Callithrix jacchus: one gene and its partners. The protein of the gene in region 3 interacts with the protein of the main gene of each other region in a biochemical or structural test. Links are inferred from orthologs where the notes say so. Each region holds a gene or a part of one and is shown on either strand. Other genes may lie near its edges.

Region 1 (4,078 bases), on a different chromosome or scaffold from region 3:
GTTTACACAAGAACATGACTTGTTACTAAACTAAAACACGAACCACTATTATTAACTCTGTATTTTCCTGGTAAGCAATGAATATCAACATTAAAAGTATTTCAACAAATATGACAAGCCACCCTCAGAGCGCAAAGTTGGCAAATAAAATTGACACCACAGCACAATCTGAAAACTATAAGCAACTATTAAACACACACACACACCACCGCACCCATTCTTATGTAAACTTTTGGAGTAAGTCAACTTTGTGAGTCTCACCTTTGTTTTCACCTAGCAAGAGAGTTAAAGATGAGACAACAATTGTAAAAAGCCAGAAGAACAAAAGATTCAGTTAATGTCCCCATAGGGGAAACGACTAAAATTTTTAAACGTTACTGTATTTAAGTAATCGAAGGGCAGGGCAGTTCCCCAAGCTACAGCCATTTTAGATTCAGACTTTCTTTTGAATTTCTCGGGTTGAGGAGAAGTAGATTTAAGACGAGAAAAAAAATAACACTCTTAAAACATTTCAGGATTTCCCCCGCAACCCCCGCAAGGGAAGGGGGTTGGAAAATATTGGATAGACTCAATCTAAACGAAAACACCTCGCTACCACGGAGAACCGGAATGCTGGGGGTTAACTTTTTTCCCCTAAAATATCCAACATTTGACTTACACTTTTTCCTCCTTAGGTTTTTCTTTGAAGGAAAACAAAAGCTCTTAGCTCTCATTTCAAGAGGGAAAGAAAAAAACCCGTAAACCAAGTCCCTCAACCGGCACCAAGCCGGATCGTCTGGAGAGGAGCCAAAAAGCCGCAGGTGAGCGTTCCGACCCGACGACCAAAGTTAAAGTAGCAGCGCTTACGCAGAGCCCCGGCAACGCTCGCGTGCAAAGCTCTAAGCACTGCGGTGGCGGGAGTGCCCCGTTCGAACCAGTTGACCCGTGGGCTCCGCTCGCCCCTCTCGGGTAGGACCTACAACCAACCACCTGTGTGAGAGCTTCTTTAACCTAGTTTTAACAGCCGGTTGGTTAGGCACCGGGCGGAGCCCCGCGCCGGAACGACTCCAAGATCTCCTACTGCCCCGTTGTCCCCAACTCCCACTCACCGTGCAGCGGTGGGGCTACGACCAGGGACGAGACGCGGCGTCTAAGGACGCGTCCCCAGCTTGTCGACCCGGCAGAGGCGGCTAGCCCACAACCATAACAAAGCTCTTCCCAAAATGGCTGCCCAGCCCACAAGACCCAGGAGGGGCAGAGCGGGTGGAGGAGGAGGAGGAGCGACGAGCAGCATGGCCCTCCCGTCCCCCGTCCGACCCCGCCTTACACACGCCCACCTGAAGGAGCGCATGCGCGCGGGACCTGCCCCGCCAACACTGCCGGAGAGACGCTCGCGCCCCGAGCTGCCAACGTTCGGCTTCCAGAACGGCGGTTATGCCCTGCCCTGCCCCTGGCTCCCTTCCTCGCCGCTGGAGGCGGCGCGTGGTCGCCTCCGCCTCCTACAGAGTTGAATCCTCTGCCTTTCCTCGTGCCGCCTGAAGCAAGGACAAGCCTAATTTAGTACGCCCCTTCTAACCCCCCTGCCCACTTTCAGGGCCTGAGCGCGTATGAATGAGTGGGTGGGTATGTATGTGTGTATTCCTTCTTTCTTCACCTTCCCACAGCCCTCCCGTGGGCCGGTACGCGTCCCGAAACTACCTCTACAAGGACTTGCAAACCGGTTTCGGAGGAACGTGTGTTTTTCAGCCCTTTCCCACCTTCCGCTCCTTCCTTCACGTGTGCGTGTCGTTGAGACTCCAGTCCCCAGCAGCCCACACGGCCTTGCTCCGGAGGCTGCGCGGCTGGGTGAGCCGCGCAACCCACTGGGAGTAGTAGTTCCCTGGGAGCGCAAGCGTCATGCCCCGCCCCAGCGCAGGGCGGGCTTTTGGCTAGAGTCTGCGCCAGTGACAGTGCCGTTTCTTCTACCTTAAGTCTCATTGGGTATCGCACTACTGGAAGGGGCGGCGGTGCCATGACAGAGAAGGCAATAAAAACTGAAGGCCTACCTCTACTAAAAGCGCTATTAGCGAACACTTTGCTGTGGCTCCTTCCGGCACGGAACACTAAACCATGTGATGGGTGGCAACCAGGAAGCTACACTACGTAGAATCCAGAGGAATGGAGGGGCTGGCCGGCGTGGGCCCCTGAGATACATGTCTTCAGCTTTATCCATATACACGGAAGGACACTCAGATTGCCTAGTGCCATTTCCTGTGAAACAAATCCAGATAAGAGAAGGGACTTGCCCAAGGTCACATAGCGGAGAAATAAAGCCGCGGGCAGCAGGAGAAATGATCTGACTTTCCGCACCACCCCCAAGCCCAGGGCTCTTATCACCACACCTTTCATGGAAGTAAAAATCCTGCTCTTGTGCTATTTAATCCTTAATGAAGTTTCTATCTCCTAGCAAAGAAAATAAATGTAATAATTGGGCTTTTTTCTTCCTTTAACTAATAGTAAAGGGCCGTAATGCGGAGTGACATGGGCCCCATAGGTCTTATAACCCTGTTTTGCAAAGTAAAAAATAAATTCCACAGATGACAAGCAATTTGGCCAGGTCACTCTGGGCCTAAAATCCCGTCTCTTACCTTCCTTCACCACCATCATTCTGAGATTGTTTCAGTACTTGCACTCTACCTTCTCGAACTCTGTGGGCAGATTCTGCTGCCTGGGAGCCATGAAACAGAAAGTCAAGAACCGTTCAGGTACCTTGTTCAACATCTGGCTTCAACTAGAAATTGAGAATGGCCCCCAAACAGAAAGCCGGGCGTAGGAACCAGTTAGCGCAGGGTAAGGCCCTACCCGGACTTATTTTCTTTTGAGTCCTCAGGAAGCAGGGGGCTTTCTCTGATTCCACTTGCCGGAAGTGTCTTTCCAGGGAGACATGGGCTGTTTTCTTGCTGCTGTGTTCCATCTCTCTGTGCAACACTGGTAAATCTCAAAGCCGCCACAGATACAGGGTGGGATGGGAGGCACCAAGGGTTGGTAGTAAATTGGAGACGCGGGTACTGTAGGGCAAGGTTTCCCGAAGACACTGGCGTCTAAACTCCTCCCCCCTTTCTCAGAGGTCTTTTTGAAGCTGGCAGTTGCAGTCTTCCTATTAGGGCAATGGGCATATTGCTCTTTCATCCAAATTAGGAGGATTAACCTTTGAGTCTCAGTCCTTAATCCCCTCATCACCTGCCGTCGCTGGACTTTAGGTTATCACGTTTTTATACCCATTAATTGGAAAGCATGTGCTACAGAGGATAGGGCGTTTCCAAAGGTGGGGGAATGGTTGAGATTTTAAATGAAGTGGTCTGGAAAGTCTTAACGAAGAAACTGATTTTGACAAAAGTGATGGGTACACTCTGCGGGCATTTTGGTCTGGGGCTCAGGTGGGTGGGTGTGGATGTGATCTAACTTACCTGTTCCTTTAGAATGAAGACATTCACTGGTATACAGGGTTTCTTGACCCAACCCTAAGATATGTGGATCTGTGATCAATAAATTAGTTCAATTTTTTTTTTTTTTGAGATGGAGTCTCGCACTGTCGCCTGGGCTGGAGTGCAGTGGCATGATCTTGGCTCATTGCAACCTCCGCCTCTCAAGTTCAAGAGATTCTCCTTTGTCAGCCTCCCAAGTAGCTGGGATTACAGGCACCCGCCACCACGCCCTGCTAATATTTTGTATCTTTTTTTTTGTTGTTTTGTTTTTTTGATTTTTTGTTTTTTACTTCCTCTAACATGAATCATAGGAAACAAATTTTTTGTATCTTTAGTAGAGACGGGTTTCACTATGTTGGCCAGCTGGTCTCGAACTCCTGACCTCGTGATCCGCCTGCCTCAGCTGCCCAAAGTGTTGGGATTACAGGGGTGAGCCACCGCGCCGGCCCAATCGATTTTTTTATTTTTTTTAATTAATTTATTTATTTTTGAGGCGGTTTCGCTGTTGTTACCCAGACTGGAGTGCAATGGCACGATCTTGGCTCACCGCAACCTCTGCCTTCTGGGTTCAAGCAATTCTCCTGCCTCAGCCTCCCGAGTAGCTGGGACTACAGGCACGCACCACCATGCCCAGC
Region 2 (4,293 bases), on a different chromosome or scaffold from region 3:
TGCACCACACTTAAATGTACACTAAAAAGCAAAAAGTGTGCCACACTTACTACTCTAGCTGCTTTTACTTGTTCCATAGAGATATGTGAGACAATTTCACTGATCAGATGGAGGGAAAGAGGAGCTCATCTTATTTCAAGCCTGTAGCTGCTGCCACAGCCTCAGCACCATGTTCTAATCATTGAATTCATCATGTAAATCTCTAGCAGATGATACCACTGGAAAACAGAAACTGTCTTGGATCCAGAAACGCTTCCAAATTTTTCCTCTAAAGTTCTTATCTGTGAGCCCAGAGACTGGGGCTGTTTCATTCAATGGGTGAGGCCCATTGGGAAAGCAGCATTCTTCGGGAGACTTCGTAAGGAACTTTCAACCATTCCTTGACTAGATAAATGGCCTTTATCATTTATTTCACGTGAAAGTGCTAAATATTTCGCAACTACTCCAACTTATTTCTGAGTGTCTAAATCTATTCTGAAAAGGATATGCATCACACACATACCTGTGTAGTTTATTAACTACCAATAAGAGCTTATACAAATTGCAGGGGGTATGAAAGAATAGACTTCTGGAATTGTCCAGAAAAGAAAAGGTACATTTCCTGGTTTTAAGAGGAAAGCTCTTGTATAAATTAGAACATTACAGGAGGCTTTTAAATTATCTTAGGGACAAGACCCTTAGGGCATCATCAGTGGTTCCTGGCGAGTCTTTTTTTCCTCCCTGTGATGTTAAGGGGAAGTCCCTAAGACCGGCTTTGCTATTAAAATACAGACATCTGCTGCTCTTCTAATTTTGTTCCGTTTAAAAGGCAGTACTCCCAAGAAACTCTTGGATATTGTGAGAACTAAGATCTGGGGGATGGGGACAGAATCTCTGTCTCCCTAACACATTTATCAGTTCCCTCCCTAGAGCCCCCCTACACCCTCAGCACACACCAGCAGCCCACTCCTCCAAATACGCCCGGGCTGGAAAGATTCATGTTGCAATACCCTTCTGACAATCCTATTCCCGCCCTCATTTTAATTCGCTCCCCTCACCTTTTTTTTTTTTAAACAAAATGTAATTACTTGACTGTCAGCCTGGGCTGCACTCTGGGGCTTTTACTACTTTCAACACAGCTGCGCTCCCGGCTTTGATGCTGCTGTCCACGCAGCTTGTCCCAGCCACAGCCTGGCTCTCGGTAATGTAACATTCAAGTGCGTATTTATTTTTAAACTGACCTCTCCTAGACTGTACAGTATAAAGGAAATCCTGCCAAAAAATATTCTACTTTCTATTTATAAGATGAAACACATGCCTCCCAAAGTCGAGAGGGGGATAGAGCATAATAATTCATAAAGAAAAAATGGCCAGAGCCATTCGTCCTCACATGTCTGATATTTGTCTGTGTCAAGGCACTTAGTTTCAAGGAGAAAGGTCTGGGGAACCCCAAAACCTTGTAAATGTTTCAGCTGTCACGGTCAAAAGACAAAAAAACAAAAAAAGTCAATAGCCAGATCTGCAGGTTGTTGCCCCGCTAACAATGCTCTCCGTTAAGAAAGAAGAGGGCACGGGGCGGGGGGGGGCGATGCCACGGCAGAGCTGTGCGATGCACCCATGTGCGGCTCTGGTTCCAATCCACGACGCGAGGGGCGCGGTAGCGAAGTGAGGCTTGTTCTCCTATGGAAAAATTCTACACGCGGCCAGAATGGCTCTGTCAATAGCTCAGAGGGTGCAATGCGGCCGCGCAGCCCCACCCTTAAAAGTGGTGGGCGCAAATGGAGGAGCCCTACGTTCCGGTGGGGCCGCCCGACCCCCTCCTGGCTTGCTTTACGTTCCCTTCAGTCCTTTGAACATGAGATGGGAAAGCGATGCCCTCGGTATCCAGTCTCTCTGTTGGTTTCCCAGCCTAACACCAGCGCACGCCGGAAAGCGGCCACGGCCGCGGGCGGGACAGACTCACAGACAGGTAGAGAGGAAGGAGTTCTGGGCTCTCCCGACTCACCGGCAGCCGCCGAGGATCTCAACCGCTGCCCGAGCCCCCCACGGGCACAAGCAGAACCAGCCTGCCGGTGCTTGCAGAACCAGCCGGGTGTGCCGGCGCGGCGCGGCGCCTGCTCACCGCATTCTCCGCTCCGAGACGGCGTGAAGGCTCTCCAGGCCCGCGGCCGGGTCTCCGGGTTGGCCCCGCGCCGCGGCCCCTCGGCCGCGAGAGAAGGTGCGCGCGACTGAGCGTTAGGCGGCCGGACGCGAGGACTGAACCTGCGGAGGGCGGGGCAACGCGGGGCGGGGCCGGCGGCGCGGGGCTGGCCCGGGGCGGGGCGGAGCGGAGGGAGCGGAGGGAGCGGAGGGAGCGGGCGGCGGGGCCGACCCTCCCGGACGCGGTACCTGTGCCCTGGCCCGGGGCCAGCAGGCGGCCAGGCGCGCGGGGGGTGGGGGGGGGTCAACGGCGGACCCTCGGAGGACAATGGGCGCCCACTGTTACCTCCCCAGCGCCACCCCCAAGTAGGCGACTTCCCTCAGAGAAGAACCCGCGTTCGGCTCCCTTAGCACAAAGAAAGGTCGCCACACTCCCGGTTTAAAGAAGGACCCCGAGGTGCTGCCGCCCGGGTGCTCGGGGACAATAGGACTCCGCCCGTACCCCGGACTCCCGCAGTAAACCTCGTGCGCCCACCTCTCCCGATCCCAACAAGCCGACCTAGCTGTGCGAGGTTCCGGCGTGGCGGGCGGTGACCCGCAGGGAAGCGAAGCCACCTGAGTGCGCCGCCCCAGCCCGGCCGCAGCTCCCCGGGTCCCTCGCAGCCCGGGCTCCGGTGAGCGCGGAGGGGGAGGGTCGCGTTCTGTCAGTTTCCAGCTCGCTCCCCTAGTAGCTGCAGCCAAAACCCGGAGAGTGGACTTAACGCCCTGGAGATGCCGGAGCTACCGGCTGAGCAGCTGGACACGCGACGAACCGCAGACGCTACAGGTTCTCCAGTTCAGAGGGAGGCGTGTCTTCTCCCTCGGGGTCTTTTAAAGGGATTTGCCTAAAGTAGGGGCAAGCTGTTGGCGGCTGCCCCAGACGCCCGACGAGGCGCAAGTGGTGCAGCTGCCGGCCCGGGAGCGTAAAATTCCGCCCGTGGCGGCACCTGCGCCCGCCGGTCACCCAGACGCCGCCGCCTGGCGCGCCCCTCCCCTCCGCGGGGGCCTGAGCTCGAACCGGGTTAATGAATGCTAATTTTCTTAATCGGTCTCCGTCTCCTCCTCTTCTGAGAGTCGTCGGCCTGTGGAAGGAGTAGGCCACAGGAAAGGGCAGTGTTTTCCGGCTGGGAGGTCCCAGCCCGCAGGATCAGCCTGGGGAAGGGGCTGGGACCCTGGGGAGTCAGACGCTCGGGGTCTGGCCTCTGCCCTAAGACTCTCAGGTTGGATGGAAATCCTGGCACAACGCGGAGAACCTCCCAAGCACCTTGGCTTTGCCGAAAGATATCAGCTTCAGGTCATCACCGCAGTGCCCTGGGTCTATCTGAAACCTTAGAGGGTGCACCTTAAGCCGACGTTGTAAACCCAGGCTGACGTTAAGGTGAAGTGAAAAGGAAACGGACACAACTGTTCTGGAAGCAAAATACTTGGGTGGAGAGTTAAAAGCCTCAAAGAAAAATAATAGTTGGCAGGTCAAATAGCCATGAGGTTAGAAGTCAAATACTAAACTCCGCTGAAGTGATGCTAGAAGTTTGACAAGCAAAACAGTGCGTGAAGATAAGAGACCCAGCATTGTTTCCCTTCTTCAAAAGACAACTGGTCCAAAATTTCCTTTGGCAGATACCTGGATTCTACTCCAGATTCCTGAGCATTTTACTTGGGGCTCATATTTCAAATATGTTCCATTTGGCACTAATGTATATATTTTATATATTAATTTATTGAAAAATATTAAATGTTTCTGGCTTACTTAAAAAATGGTATTTTTATAAATATTTATGCATAGTTTTCATTACATATGGTATAGGTCCAAATAATGTGTGTGTATATATTTATAAAAAACCACATGTAAAATTCCTTTTGAACACATAAAGACATTCCTTCCACGTCTTATATGTAACTTTTTTTCACGTGATCTATTGTTAGCTGCTGTTAAAAGCACTTTATTTCCACATGGCCCAATAAATAACTTCTTTTATAGTTTGTGCAAATATAGAGTGGCAGGTTGTTTGAGGTGGCAGTTTTATTCCAAAACCCTAATTTTACTTTTCTACATTATTCCTTGCCTTTCGGAGGTTTTCTCTCCCTCTGCCATTTTGAAATGAGACTTCTTCACTGCTGGGCTCTAAAGAGTTATCT
Region 3 (3,500 bases):
GGTTGAGCTCATAGGTTGTCATAGGTTGTCCTCTGTCTCTGCCACTGAGTGTCCTCCTCCTCACATCTTTGCCACACATGCATGCAAGGATGTCCATAGAATTAGAATCACTAGGTTGATGAGGTGAGCATTTGGTTCGCTAGGTTTGCCAGAATGCCCTCTGGAGGTTGCATCAGTTTATACACCCACCTGGCCACCACGCTGTGATGGCCCAGAATGCTTTTTAAATGCAGTCTGCTTTGCCATGTCTTTGCAGCATGTGTACTGGAATTTCCAGCCTTCCTGAGTGACTCTTTGGAAGTCCTTTGCCTGAACGACAACCACCTTGACACAGTCCCTCCCTCGGTTTGCCTGCTGAAGAGCCTATCAGAGCTCTACTTGGGGAAGTAAGTACTCATCTGGAGGGGCCGTGCTGGCTGCTGACCCAGTGAGGCACAGTGCCCATCCCTAAACCAGCTGGGACACAGAAAGCCAGGCAGAAAGAAGCCATTGACTCTTCAAGAAGCAGCAGTGGGATTTTTCAGAACAGGGCTTGATCAAGGTGGGAGGGAGAAAGGAAGATGGGGCAGCGATGGGATGAGACGCACGTTAGCTGCAGCACTCGGGCTGTGATGAGGAGAAGCACTCGGTCATCCATCCTTTCATTACTGAGCTTTCATTGCATGCCAGCTACTGCCAGGGCTTCTAGGCAGTGTGCACACCTTGATGAAAATGTAAAATGTTATATCAATATTAAAGTGACATCGCCTCTTCAAGAAGAGGTAGTGATCATCTCTATGGTGATGTAGTTGGTAGCAGAGACAGGGAAGCTGGAGGAGGGGACTCAATTCTAAGCCATGGGGATTTGCAGAAGATAGCGCTGCCCTTTCTACCACTGACCCTTCAGGGAGAAAGGCTTTGGAATTAGTGTTGAAATCAGGTCCTGAGGTGCGGGTTTTGGGGTGCAGGCTGTCAGTGGCCTCAGCAGGCTGCAGAGGCTGACAGAAGTCATGTGTGTATGTGTGTGTGCGTGCATATGTGTGCTTGCGTGTACATGCGTGCGCGTGTGTGCGTGTGTGTATGTGTGTGTGCGTGTGTGTGTTTACGTGCATGGTCTGGACACACCTGTATTCTCTCGTGATGGGCACACGTGTCTTCAGCAACCCTGGCCTCCGGGAGCTCCCTCCTGAGCTGGGGCAGCTGGGCAACCTCTGGCAGCTGGACACTGAAGACCTGACCATCAGCAATGTGCCTGCAGAAATCCGAAAAGAAGGTAGGGCATCCACAGCTCTGTCCCCTGCCATCACCTTGGAAAGACAACTCAAGTCCACTAGTTAAGTTCTGGGGGTAGAAACAGTTGGTGACCTATGGAGCCCACCTCCAGGTTCCAGGTTTGGCAAGATGCTATAAAATTGTCCCTAAAGCAGTCATTACTGAGGGTCACTATATTGAGAATGGCCAGGTGATAAACCTGGGACCTCCTAGGCAGCAAGGGCTTTGTCTATAGGTTCTTGCCTTTGAGACTTCACTTTCGGGGTGATTAGTGTCACTCCTTCCCTCCACCTGCTCCAATGTTCCTTAACTGTCCCCATCAGAACACAAAGAAAGTTTCTTCACGACAGGATTTTGTGTTCTAAGAGAAGTGAGCATGTTCCCATGCACCTACCTTTCCCCTTTATGATTCTGCACAGGCCCCAAAGCAATGCTGTCTTACTTACGAGCTCAGCTGCGGAAAGCAGAGAGGTGCAAGCTGATGAAGATGATCATCGTGGGTCCCCCGCGCCAGGGCAAGTCCACCCTCCTGGAGATCTTACAGACGGGGAGGGCCTCCCAGGTGGTGCACGGCGAGGCCACCATCAGGACCACCAAGTGGGAGCTCCAGAGGCCAGCTGGCTCGAGAGCCAAGGTCAAGAGTCCCTGTGCGCAGTGTCCCTGTGGGCGGGCGGGACATCCCTTGGACTCCTCTCTCTTCTCCACAGAGAACCCAGGGTTTTCTCAGCCTGATGTCCAAAGCCAGAACCTTTGCAGGAGCCACTGTGTACTGTTCTGTACCAGCTTCTGCCAAGAGCAGCACATCGTCTCTTGATGTGACTTTGTAGTTTTTTCCTTTCTTTTCTTTGAGACAGTGTCTCCCTCTGTCACTCAGGCTGGATGTATCCTCAACCTCCCAGCTTAAACGATCCTCCTGCCCTGTGTGTTTTTGTGATTGTGAACTCAAAGCTTTGGGCCAGTGGTTCTTAACCCTGACTGTCCATTAGATTTCCTTGAGGAGCTTTTAAAGATAGCACTGCCCAGGCCTCACCTCACTGCTCTTTGACCCCAAGGATTCAAGTTCAAGTGGTCCGGGGTAAGGCACCCCCAGGGCTGAGCATAACCACTGTTGCAGACAGTGAAACACACCAGCATCTGCCCTCTAATGAGGAAGCTAAAAGCACTCCGGGACTTAATGCCCTGTCCTCCCTGATACCTGCTTTCACCCCAGGTTCTGAAAAGTCCTGTTTCTAAGCCCTACTGAAAATAAATCCATCACTGCTTGAACCTGGGAGGTGGAGTTTGCCAAATCGCGCCACTGCACTCCAGCCTGGTGACAGAGTAAGACTCCATCTCAAAAAAAAAAAAAAAAAAAAAGGAGTTCATCACTGAACCTATTAGTCATCCTGCTTTCCATTCAGTGCCAGGCAAATGGAAAGGAACATTTTCCTGTTCATGAAACAGAGAATAGAGCCCATGAACTATAGGTGGGATCTCTATCCCTGGAATAGAGCAGGGCAGTTTGCTCTTTCTCTGAGCTTGGGGAGCAAACACACATAGATAAGGCCTTCCTCATCAGCTCTATTTGCGTTTCTGCCACCCTGTGGCTCCTTGGGATACAAGGGGCAAGGAGACTGCTTCACTATGGAAAACTGAGGAGCCCTGAGGTCCAGATGTTTCCTGATTTTCCGCCAAGTCCCACACAGTGCCAGCCAGACACCGTAGCACCTTTCACACACAGCAACGTTCCAAGCCTTGTTTGAGAACTTAGGCATTAAAGCTGTGCATCTATTCTAGCGCAGACTCGAAAGCTGGTCCTCCAAAGGATGGAGCGCTGCCTGCTGGGGCTAGAACAGTCAACACAACAATCAATGCCGGGCCCATTCTAGAGCATTCCAGGAGCAAATCCAACTGAGTCTAAAAGTTCTCTCCAGGGCCCAGAATCCTCTGCCTTGTCTCCTGCTCTGCTTTTTTCTTAACAATGATGCAATCTCATTTCTTCTCTTAGCTTCCTCTAGCTGAGGCCTGAAGGGTGAATTAGTGCTTCTATTTTTCCTGGCCTTCAGCCCCCACTTCCCTTCTGCGGTGACTAAAGCCCCACCCTTTAGTGGAAGGACAGTCCTGTGCAGCTCTCTGCGTGGCTGGCCTTAGCCGGTTGAGAACAGCTGTTTTCATCTTTATACAAAACCAGGTCAGCATGCTGTCTTGGAGGCCGACACTGCCTCACGGAGATGACTCCTTTCTGTGGAAAACTGTAGCCCTAGCTTCCA
Region 4 (4,056 bases), on a different chromosome or scaffold from region 3:
ACTATGGCATAATCCTCAGACTAACATGCTATCATATTGCTTGGGAACTTAAGAAAACGGTGAGACCATTCTCTAATTCTGTCTAGATTATATTCATATATGTGATTCTTTATAATCACTTTTCAATATAACTCTCACCAACTTTAGATTTGAAAAGAAATCTTAAAAATATGTATATGGAGATTCATATAGATACATGAACAAAAATGGTTTGCAGATTTAAACATTTAGCATCCTTGATGGCTGAAAAGGCTACATTCTGTTTCAATTCCATGCATGAATTACCTATAGGAAAGGAATAATGTCATATGATGTGTTTGAGTTTTTTAGAGTTCTATTATAGTCTTTTTCATTCTTGATGAAAGTATAACCTTTGAGAGAATATTTTCTGCAGAACCTAATAAGTGAAATGAATATAACTGATGTTTAAAAAGCCCCTTGCAATTCAAAAAGAATTTTACATGTATTATTTAGTACCTTACAGAACAATCTTCAGGTAGGTATTCCACTTTACACACAACTAAACAGATTCAGAGAGGGTAGGTAATATGTCCAAGGACAAACAGCTGCTTAGTTTGAGCCAGGATGAGAATCTAGACCTTCCAAATCCAGTACTGTCTGCACAAGTTCAATCCAAGATTTTAATATCCCATAGGAAGATTCTTAAAGAAGCTTATTAAAACAGACTTCTGCTGTTAAATCAAACTTTTTAAAATACTGTTTTCCAAACACTTAAAATAATTATTTTAAACTATCATACAGAAGGCATTCCATCAGACAAAGAAAACTGTCAGGAAATGAGTATCATCTCTTACCTAATAAAGTTATCTTAATAAAAAAAAAAAAGTCCTGTGTTTTTAGGCAATGATAACCCGATCGATAACTCAAGTCATATTTGAAAGCAGCCAACACACATTTTAAGAGTTCAGATAAAGATAAGACACGTTCCACGTTTTTACTCTCTTTAAAACTAGTAGGACTTTTTTTTTCCAATTTAACCGTTAACACAATTGGCCCAAACAGGAAAATACATGGCAAAAAATCCAAACCCTATTTCCTTCATACCATCCTATAAAAACGAATTTTCAATGAGAAAACTATACATACAAGTTAGAAGAAAACGAAGGCTGACATTAAACACTGTTCTTTTCTCCAGTGTGTTATTCAATTCCCAAGACATTTCCCTAAAAGACCCTCCACTCCCCCGCAAATGTGTGTGTGTATATGTGTATATATACATGTATATGTGTATATATACATATATATATATGTATGTATGTATATTTGTATGTATTTCCCGAAATATACCTCAGAAATTGCTCTGGCATTTTGGGGAGTCATTTATTAACTACAATTACTTATATTCATTCTTCGGCTACAGCCAGCTAATTAGCAGCTTAAAATCAGCTAAAAGCTTTGTACCACAATAATGCAAAAACGAGCACTACAGAAAATATTCAAGTGGCATTTATTTTTTTAGTCCTAACAATTATTTTTCCTTTCACATTAGTATCACGGAAAAAGCCAATCAATTAGAATTCAAAGGCACTTACTGAGTTATTAAGGTATTCAATAAACCTGTAATGAAGGAATATTAAGGACATAAATACCAATAACTACTTGTTTAAAAAGCACTTGGTGGTTTCCCAAAAAAACAGCCACGTTAAGAATATCAAAATTGTGGGTGGGGGGCAGAAAAAAAAGAATATCAAAATTATAAAAATTAACAGTAAAAATGCAAGTTAAAAAATAGGAGAAACCCTCTTTTCCCCGACACCTAGCAGCATTTCTGATCGTTTTTATCATTTGTAGACACTACACAGTTGCTGGCTACGTAGCAAGTTCTCACAAGAGCAAGGGGGAGGTGGGCTAAATCGACGTCTGCAGACAGTTTTAAAGCTCTTGCAAAACTCCATGTACGTTACAGCACCAAACTGACAAATGCAGCAGATGGCACGCGTTTCACAGAAAGGGGGCTCCCTTCCCGGCTTTGTTTTCTCCGGGAGATTTTATTTTACCTAAACTAAAAAAAAGAGACCCTTTGCCGGAGGGCTGGAGCGGCGAAGTTCGCACAGGGCAGGGGAGGCGGGCACGTGTACGCCTCCTAGCCCCCCGGCGAGGCGAGCGCGTGGCCCTTCCCCGCAGCGGCCGAGCCCGCTCCCTTGCAGAGGGCTCAGGCCCGGACCCCCGAAGTCCCCAGCCCTGGCTGGCCCCCAGAAACTGCTGGGCCGGGACCGGGTCTCCGGGGCACGCCGGGCATGGGGATGCATCTTCAGGGGATTCTCAGGAGGGCGCGGTGAGGATGCGAACCTTCCTCACAGGATTTCAGTCTCACCGGAAACACGCCTTCCAATCCTGACCCCCGAATTCAACCTCCGCCAGAGGGGGAGGAGGGTTGGGGGGGGGCCCTCGCCGGCGCGCGCCCCTCTCAGTGGGGAGAGGACTCCGGGAGGGGGCGGGCCCGCGTCGCCACGCTCCGGGCTGGGCCCAGATGGAGGGAACCGGGCCGGCGTCCCGGAGCGTTGGGGCGGGCGCGGCTGGACCTGTGGGGCTATGAGGAGGCAGCCGGACCCCAGCCTCGCAGGCCAGGACCTGACAGGGCCGCGGCCCCCATGCCCCCTCCCATCGTGCGGCTGCCCCGAGGGGGAATGAGGGAAAGGGAGCAATCTTCCCGAGCGTGCGAGCCGCGCCCACTGGTACTGACCCCTCGGGCCCCCGCCGCTGCTCGCCCAGGTCCCCGGTCTGCCGGCCCCGATCCCGCTCCTCTGCCTCCGCCGCCTCTGCACCTCGGAGAGTCTCTGGCCCCTCTCGCTCTGTTTGTTTTTGTTTTCTTCTACCCAGTAACACGGGGGCGAGAAGGCTGCGCTTATTGGCGGAGGCCCGGTGGCCGGTTGGCCAATCGTAGCGGCGGAGCCGGAGCTGGGGAGGAAAAGGGAGAGGAATGAAACGTGGAAAGTTGGGGAGGGGCGCGGGAGGGCGCATGCGCTTGTGGTTCCTGGGACTGGCTGGAGCGGGAGCTGAGCGGGAAGCCCGGGTGAGGGTACGTTGGGAGGCGTGGCGGGATGGGAGCGTCGGCCCACGGGCAGTGCTGGGGAATGGGGACAAAGAAGCTCCCCAGACCCAGCGCACCCATTCTCCTCGCACGGCGTGCTGCAAACTCAGCTGAAGCAAAGATTTTCAGCTTCCTGACGGTCCCTGCCTCCATTTCTAGACACTCCCAAGTGTTCAGCCTGTCGGATTCCTTCTCCCTCTGGCCCCTGCTCTCTCCAGGGAGAGTTTCTGCAGATCCCATAACTAAGAAGTTACTCTCAGCGAATCCCCTCAACCCTTTGAGATAGAAATCATTCCCATTTTACAGATATAAGACAGGCTCAAAAACTCTTTGAAGTCGCTTTGCTAATCATGACTAGCCAAGCCTCTGGTGTTCAAACGCACACATTCTGGACTCCCGTGCTGGGGTTCTGGGCCATGGCTACAATCTCTGTATTGAAATTCCCAGGTCCCCTGGCTGTTCTCTGTGACCTTTCGTCTTGGCTGCGTTCGTTTTGGCTGGTCCTTTCCGTATTCTTTCTCGGTCGCTGTCCCCTGAGGTAATAACCAGAACCTTGTGCTCCCTCTGCTCCCAGGAGGGGACTTAACCACTTACCTCTGATCAGATTTTCCAGTTGTTTGATGGGTCACACATGAATGATTGCTTGGTCTCTCCAGAACCCAACTGTCTTAATTCCGCACAAGCCACGCCTTACCCTGGCTACCCAGTCACCCTGCCTGGGAATCATCTCTAATGCTACTATTTCTCTGCACAAAACAAAACAAAACAATAAACCTTCATTGTCTTCCCATTGCCTCTCTTGAGTGTCAGCACCCGGGTCGGTCATTCAAGGCTCCACTATGTGACTTTAAGACTTTCAGGCTGTGTCTCCACATCTCCCTACATGCTTCCCCACCCGCTGCTAGTTTTGTTTGTTTGTTTGTTTTGAGACGGAGTTTCGCGCTTGTTACCCAGGCTGGAGTGCAATGGTGCGATCTCGGCTCACCGCAACCTCCGCCTCCTGG
Region 5 (3,935 bases), on a different chromosome or scaffold from region 3:
CAGCAGTATATCCAAGAATTCCGGGATGGGAAGGGACTTGGAATAACCACCTGATCCATCTCATTGCAATTTTCTTTTTCCCAAGATGGAGTGCAGGATAGAGTGCAGTGGCCCAATCTTGGGTCACTGCAACCTCCACCTCCTGGGTTCAAGCAATTCTCCTGACTCAGCCTCCTGAGTAACTGAGAAAAGGCACGTGCCATTATTCCCAGCTAAATTTTTTTATTTCTAGTAGAGACGGGGTTTTACCATGTTGGTCAGGCTGGGATTGCTTTGTATTTCTAGTAGAGATGGGGTTTCACCATGTTGGTCAGGCTCTAAAATATCTGGAATTACACAGGCATGAGCCACCGCACTGGCCCCCAAAGTTAGGGGGAGATCACAGGCTGAGTGACCTGGGGGTGGCGGGGAGGGTGGAGCAGGGATGGAGTGGTCCCATCTTGCCCTCTCTACAAATAATTGGGGAAAATAATGCAACATCAAAATGCATGGAAAAAATACTTGAGCACTTTGGTATGCATTTTGCTGTATGTATGTAACATCTTGATTTTAAAAAGAAATATATATATATATATATATATATATATATATATATATATATATATATATATTGAACTCTAGTGATCCTTTAGCCAAGGAATACCAAAACTGAGAAGACAGGCTTTTTTCCCTAATTATTTAGAACATTGTTCACGTAAAGCCAACAGTTTTGGGCAATCTCTCAGTGGGTTTCCTGTCAAACCACCTGGATTCCACCATCTTGCTAATTGCCACATCCACTTCCTTACACGTTATTTACACCTGGACTCCCTTCAAAAAGGCTCTGAACCAGCCGGGCGCAGTAGCTCACGCCTGTAATCCCGGCACTTTGAGAGGCCAAGGCAAGTAGATCAAGAGGTCAGGAGTTCAAGTCCAGCCTGGCCAACATGGTGAAACCCCATCTCTACTAAAAATACAAAAATGAGTCCAGCCTTGTGTTGCGCGTCTGTAATCCCAGCTACTCGGAGGCTGAGGCAGGAGAACTGCTTGAACCCAGGAGGTGGAGGTTGCAGTGAGCTGAGATCGCGCCACTGCACTCTAGCCTGGGCAACATAGGAGGGTTCCGTCACCAGGAAAAAAAAAAAAAAAAAAGGCTCTGAACCTAGTACTCTATTAAGACAGTAAGAGTGGCCCTGTTTGCTGCCAGGAAGCTGTGATATCTGGGGAGGAAAAGAGCGAGGGAGGCAGAGCTGGGATTCTGTATGCATTTCGTTCCCCATTCCCTTAAAAAATGATTTTTAAATGTTTTGGTCCCGACTTTCAGCAAACAGAATGAGGAAGCTGAAAGCCTCAGGCGAGCCTGCCCTGGGGAACCCTGGCCACCTTTCCCTGCCCTCCGGCGCAGGCGCCTCCCACACCGGCAGTACCTGGGGGAGCCGCCTGAGGATGAGGCAGACATGGCTAGGCATCAAAGCCGCAAAGTGGGCAACTGGGTCAGCAGGCTCTGCTCAGGGGGACCCAGAGCGGGCAGGCTTGTCAATGAGCCTCTCAAGGGGCCCGGCATCAAACGTCCTCTCTGAGGGGAGGAGGGTGGAAGCTTTGGGGGTGGCAGTTGGATGAAAACTTGGGAGGCGCTCCTCTACTGTCCAAGTCACACAGCAACTGTCCTGCCAAAGTAGGGGGAGACAGGAGAGGCTGAGCGACAAGGAAGCAGCGGAGAGGGAGGGGAGGGAACCGGCGCAATGGCGAGGGAAAGGATCTCCGCGCCCGGGCCCCACGGGAAGGGCGGCCGGTGGCTACCGGGGGAAACCTGAGGCGCCGGCGGGCGTGTGGAGAGTGAGGGTGAGAACCGCTTGGCCCCAAGTGGGCCGGACCCGCGCAGGGAGCCGCGGAGATGCTGGGCGGGGTCGGGCAACAGTTTCCTAGGAGAAGGGGCGTTCCCGGAAGAACAGGTGCCCGAGAGGACCAATAGTGTTTGAAGGAGCGAGGCGCGGAGGTGCGCCGGGGCCGGGCGCCCAGCCGCGAGGGAAAACCGAAACACCGAGTTCCGAGCGGGTTAGACGCCAGGCTGAGAGGGGGCGGGCGGGACCCGCCGGGCGAGGGCCCCGGAGACCCGGAGACGGTGCCCGGGGACAGCGCTGCCTACGGTGGGCGGGCAAGTGACTGCCGTGCGGAGGCCCGCGGGGAGGACGAGGCGGATGCCGAGATGCCGCCGGCAGGCAGCAGAGCGAGGGACAGCGTCGGTCGGCGGAGAGAAAGGACGGCCACCAACCAGCGGGCAGGAAGGGACCGGTTTCTGCCCATATGGAGAAGGACGAAGCCCTGGCCGTGAGCGGCAGAGGAGGGGCAGAGCCCCGCGGTGGCCAGGAGAGAGGAGAAGGAGGCGGCCGGCCGCCCGTTAGCGCAAGGAGGAGAGTCCCCGCGCCGGTGGGGGGGGGCGGGGGGGGCCAGGTTCTGACAGGAGGGGGACGGGCGCGACGCGGCTGGGGGCCCAGGACCCGACGGCCCTACCGGGCCGACCCCGCCGAGGGTGCGAAGGGGACTGTCTCGCCCGGGAGCGCCCTGGATCCCGCCAGCCAGCGGCCTCTCACCAGGAGCGACACGGCTGAGCCCAGAAACGCCGCCTTATGAAGTCGTTGAAGTCGGAGGCCAGGGCCGTGCCATGGAGACGCCGCGGCGGATGTAGTCCGGCTCTGGCGGCGGCTCCTCCCCGCTTCCGCCTCCTTTTCCGACACCCGGTCGGCACCTCGCCCATTGGCCAGTTCAAACCCCCTCGGGAGCCGCTTGGGTTTCGCCATCGAGGCCCAGCCCCTGGCGTCACAGAGATGCCCCGCCCCACCAGTGGCACCGCCCACTTCCGGGCCACGCGTCTCGTCACCAAGGAGATGTAGACGCATCCAGCCTGCCTTACCGGGTCTCGGCCCGCATTCAAGGGCTTCCCAGCTCGGCCGTTTCCCCTGCCTCGGGTCCTCCCGGATTCCCCTGACTCAAAGGAACGTAGGGCTCCGACGCGCTCCCCTCGGTACCCACCGAGAAACTAGGCTCACAGCGGAGCCACAGAACAAGTTACTGCGAACTGCACACTGCCTCCGGAAATCCAGCCCTGCCCCAGCCCACTATTAGTGCAGGGATGGAGTCGGTTTCTGCCAATTCCCTGGCCTCGCTCCCCTGCCCACATCGCCTCTGTCTTGACCCCAAAAGGAGGAAGGATCGGCATTCCCCTTGCTCTTCACTACCCTCCTGCACTCTGCTGCTCTGTGTACAGACCTATTCTGATGAGGTCCTCGCTGGGCTGCCATCTTCTCAATTATGCTTCTCAGCCAGTCTTGGGAGGTCTGTCACGTGGCTCATAATGCCGCCCTGGAATCTTGGAGACTTTAACAACCTCGGAGCCAACCGGGCCACAGTCCCTTGACCTTTCTCCAGTGACCTCGCAGCACCTCAGCCACACACCTCCAGGGTCACACAAGTGTTTCACCTGAAATCCTAAAGTCAAACTCCCCTCCCAAACAAAACCTGCTTTTCTGCTTGGCTTTCACAGTATACTGCATACTGTATTCTGTAATGTCAGGGAGCTCCCTGATCCCTTGGTCCATTCATTGTCGCTCTGTCGAATAATTGAGAGTTTTTTTTTTTTTAAGACGGGGTTTCACCATGTTGGTCAGGCTGGTCTTGAACTCCTGACCTCTGGTGATCCTCCCACCTTGGCCTCCAAAGTGCTTGGATTACAGGCATGAGCCACCACGCCCGGCCTTGAGAGATTTCTTAATCCTCATTATAACTCAACTCCGTTGAGTTATATTTAAAGACTGAAAAGATCAAATCTGCAGATCACTCCTCCACCCTCAGCTGAGCCCCACACACTATCCAGGAACGTCTATTTGTCCCTAGACTCCTCCTGATGGTGGTTTTTCCAAACCGTTGCCTCTTCCCCATCCCATACTCTAATTCTCCTG

The links.
Region 1: the proteins of LRRK1 (region 3) and GPBP1L1 form a complex in vitro, tested with the Homo sapiens proteins (2 studies listed by BioGRID and IntAct, with this or other methods). The link is inferred for Callithrix jacchus from reciprocal best matches to the Homo sapiens genes LRRK1 and GPBP1L1.
Region 2: the proteins of LRRK1 (region 3) and CDC42EP3 form a complex in vitro, tested with the Homo sapiens proteins (2 studies listed by BioGRID and IntAct, with this or other methods). The link is inferred for Callithrix jacchus from reciprocal best matches to the Homo sapiens genes LRRK1 and CDC42EP3.
Region 4: the proteins of LRRK1 (region 3) and PDCD4 form a complex in vitro, tested with the Homo sapiens proteins (2 studies listed by BioGRID and IntAct, with this or other methods). The link is inferred for Callithrix jacchus from reciprocal best matches to the Homo sapiens genes LRRK1 and PDCD4.
Region 5: the proteins of LRRK1 (region 3) and ODF2 form a complex in vitro, tested with the Homo sapiens proteins (2 studies listed by BioGRID and IntAct, with this or other methods). The link is inferred for Callithrix jacchus from reciprocal best matches to the Homo sapiens genes LRRK1 and ODF2.

What each region holds. Positions count from the first base shown.
Region 1 is NC_133508.1:82,433,896-82,437,973, forward strand, and holds the start of GPBP1L1 (vasculin-like protein 1), read right to left. Parts: upstream 2,801-4,078; 5' UTR 2,607-2,800; intron 2,230-2,606; 5' UTR 2,025-2,229; intron 1,844-2,024; exon of another isoform or gene 1,634-1,843; intron 1,212-1,633; exon of another isoform or gene 659-1,211; intron 1-658. UniProt on the Homo sapiens protein: Possible transcription factor.
Region 2 is NC_133515.1:77,292,325-77,296,617, reverse strand, and holds the start of CDC42EP3 (cdc42 effector protein 3), read right to left. Parts: upstream 2,801-4,293; 5' UTR 2,654-2,800; intron 2,210-2,653; exon of another isoform or gene 1,985-2,209; intron 1-1,984.
Region 3 is NC_133507.1:8,959,950-8,963,449, reverse strand, and holds part of LRRK1 (leucine-rich repeat serine/threonine-protein kinase 1), read left to right. Parts: intron 1-256; coding exon 257-386; intron 387-1,139; coding exon 1,140-1,252; intron 1,253-1,670; coding exon 1,671-1,885; intron 1,886-3,500.
Region 4 is NC_133513.1:103,813,872-103,817,927, reverse strand, and holds the start of PDCD4 (programmed cell death protein 4), read right to left. Parts: upstream 2,801-4,056; 5' UTR 2,705-2,800; intron 1,579-2,704; 5' UTR 1,554-1,578; intron 1-1,553. UniProt on the Homo sapiens protein: Inhibits translation initiation and cap-dependent translation. May excert its function by hindering the interaction between EIF4A1 and EIF4G. Inhibits the helicase activity of EIF4A. Modulates the activation of JUN kinase.
Region 5 is NC_133502.1:177,055,086-177,059,020, reverse strand, and holds the start of ODF2 (outer dense fiber protein 2), read right to left. Parts: upstream 2,801-3,935; 5' UTR 2,735-2,800; coding exon 2,571-2,734; intron 2,401-2,570; exon of another isoform or gene 1,780-2,400; intron 1,647-1,779; exon of another isoform or gene 1,439-1,646; coding exon of another isoform or gene 1,407-1,438; intron 1-1,406. UniProt on the Homo sapiens protein: Seems to be a major component of sperm tail outer dense fibers (ODF).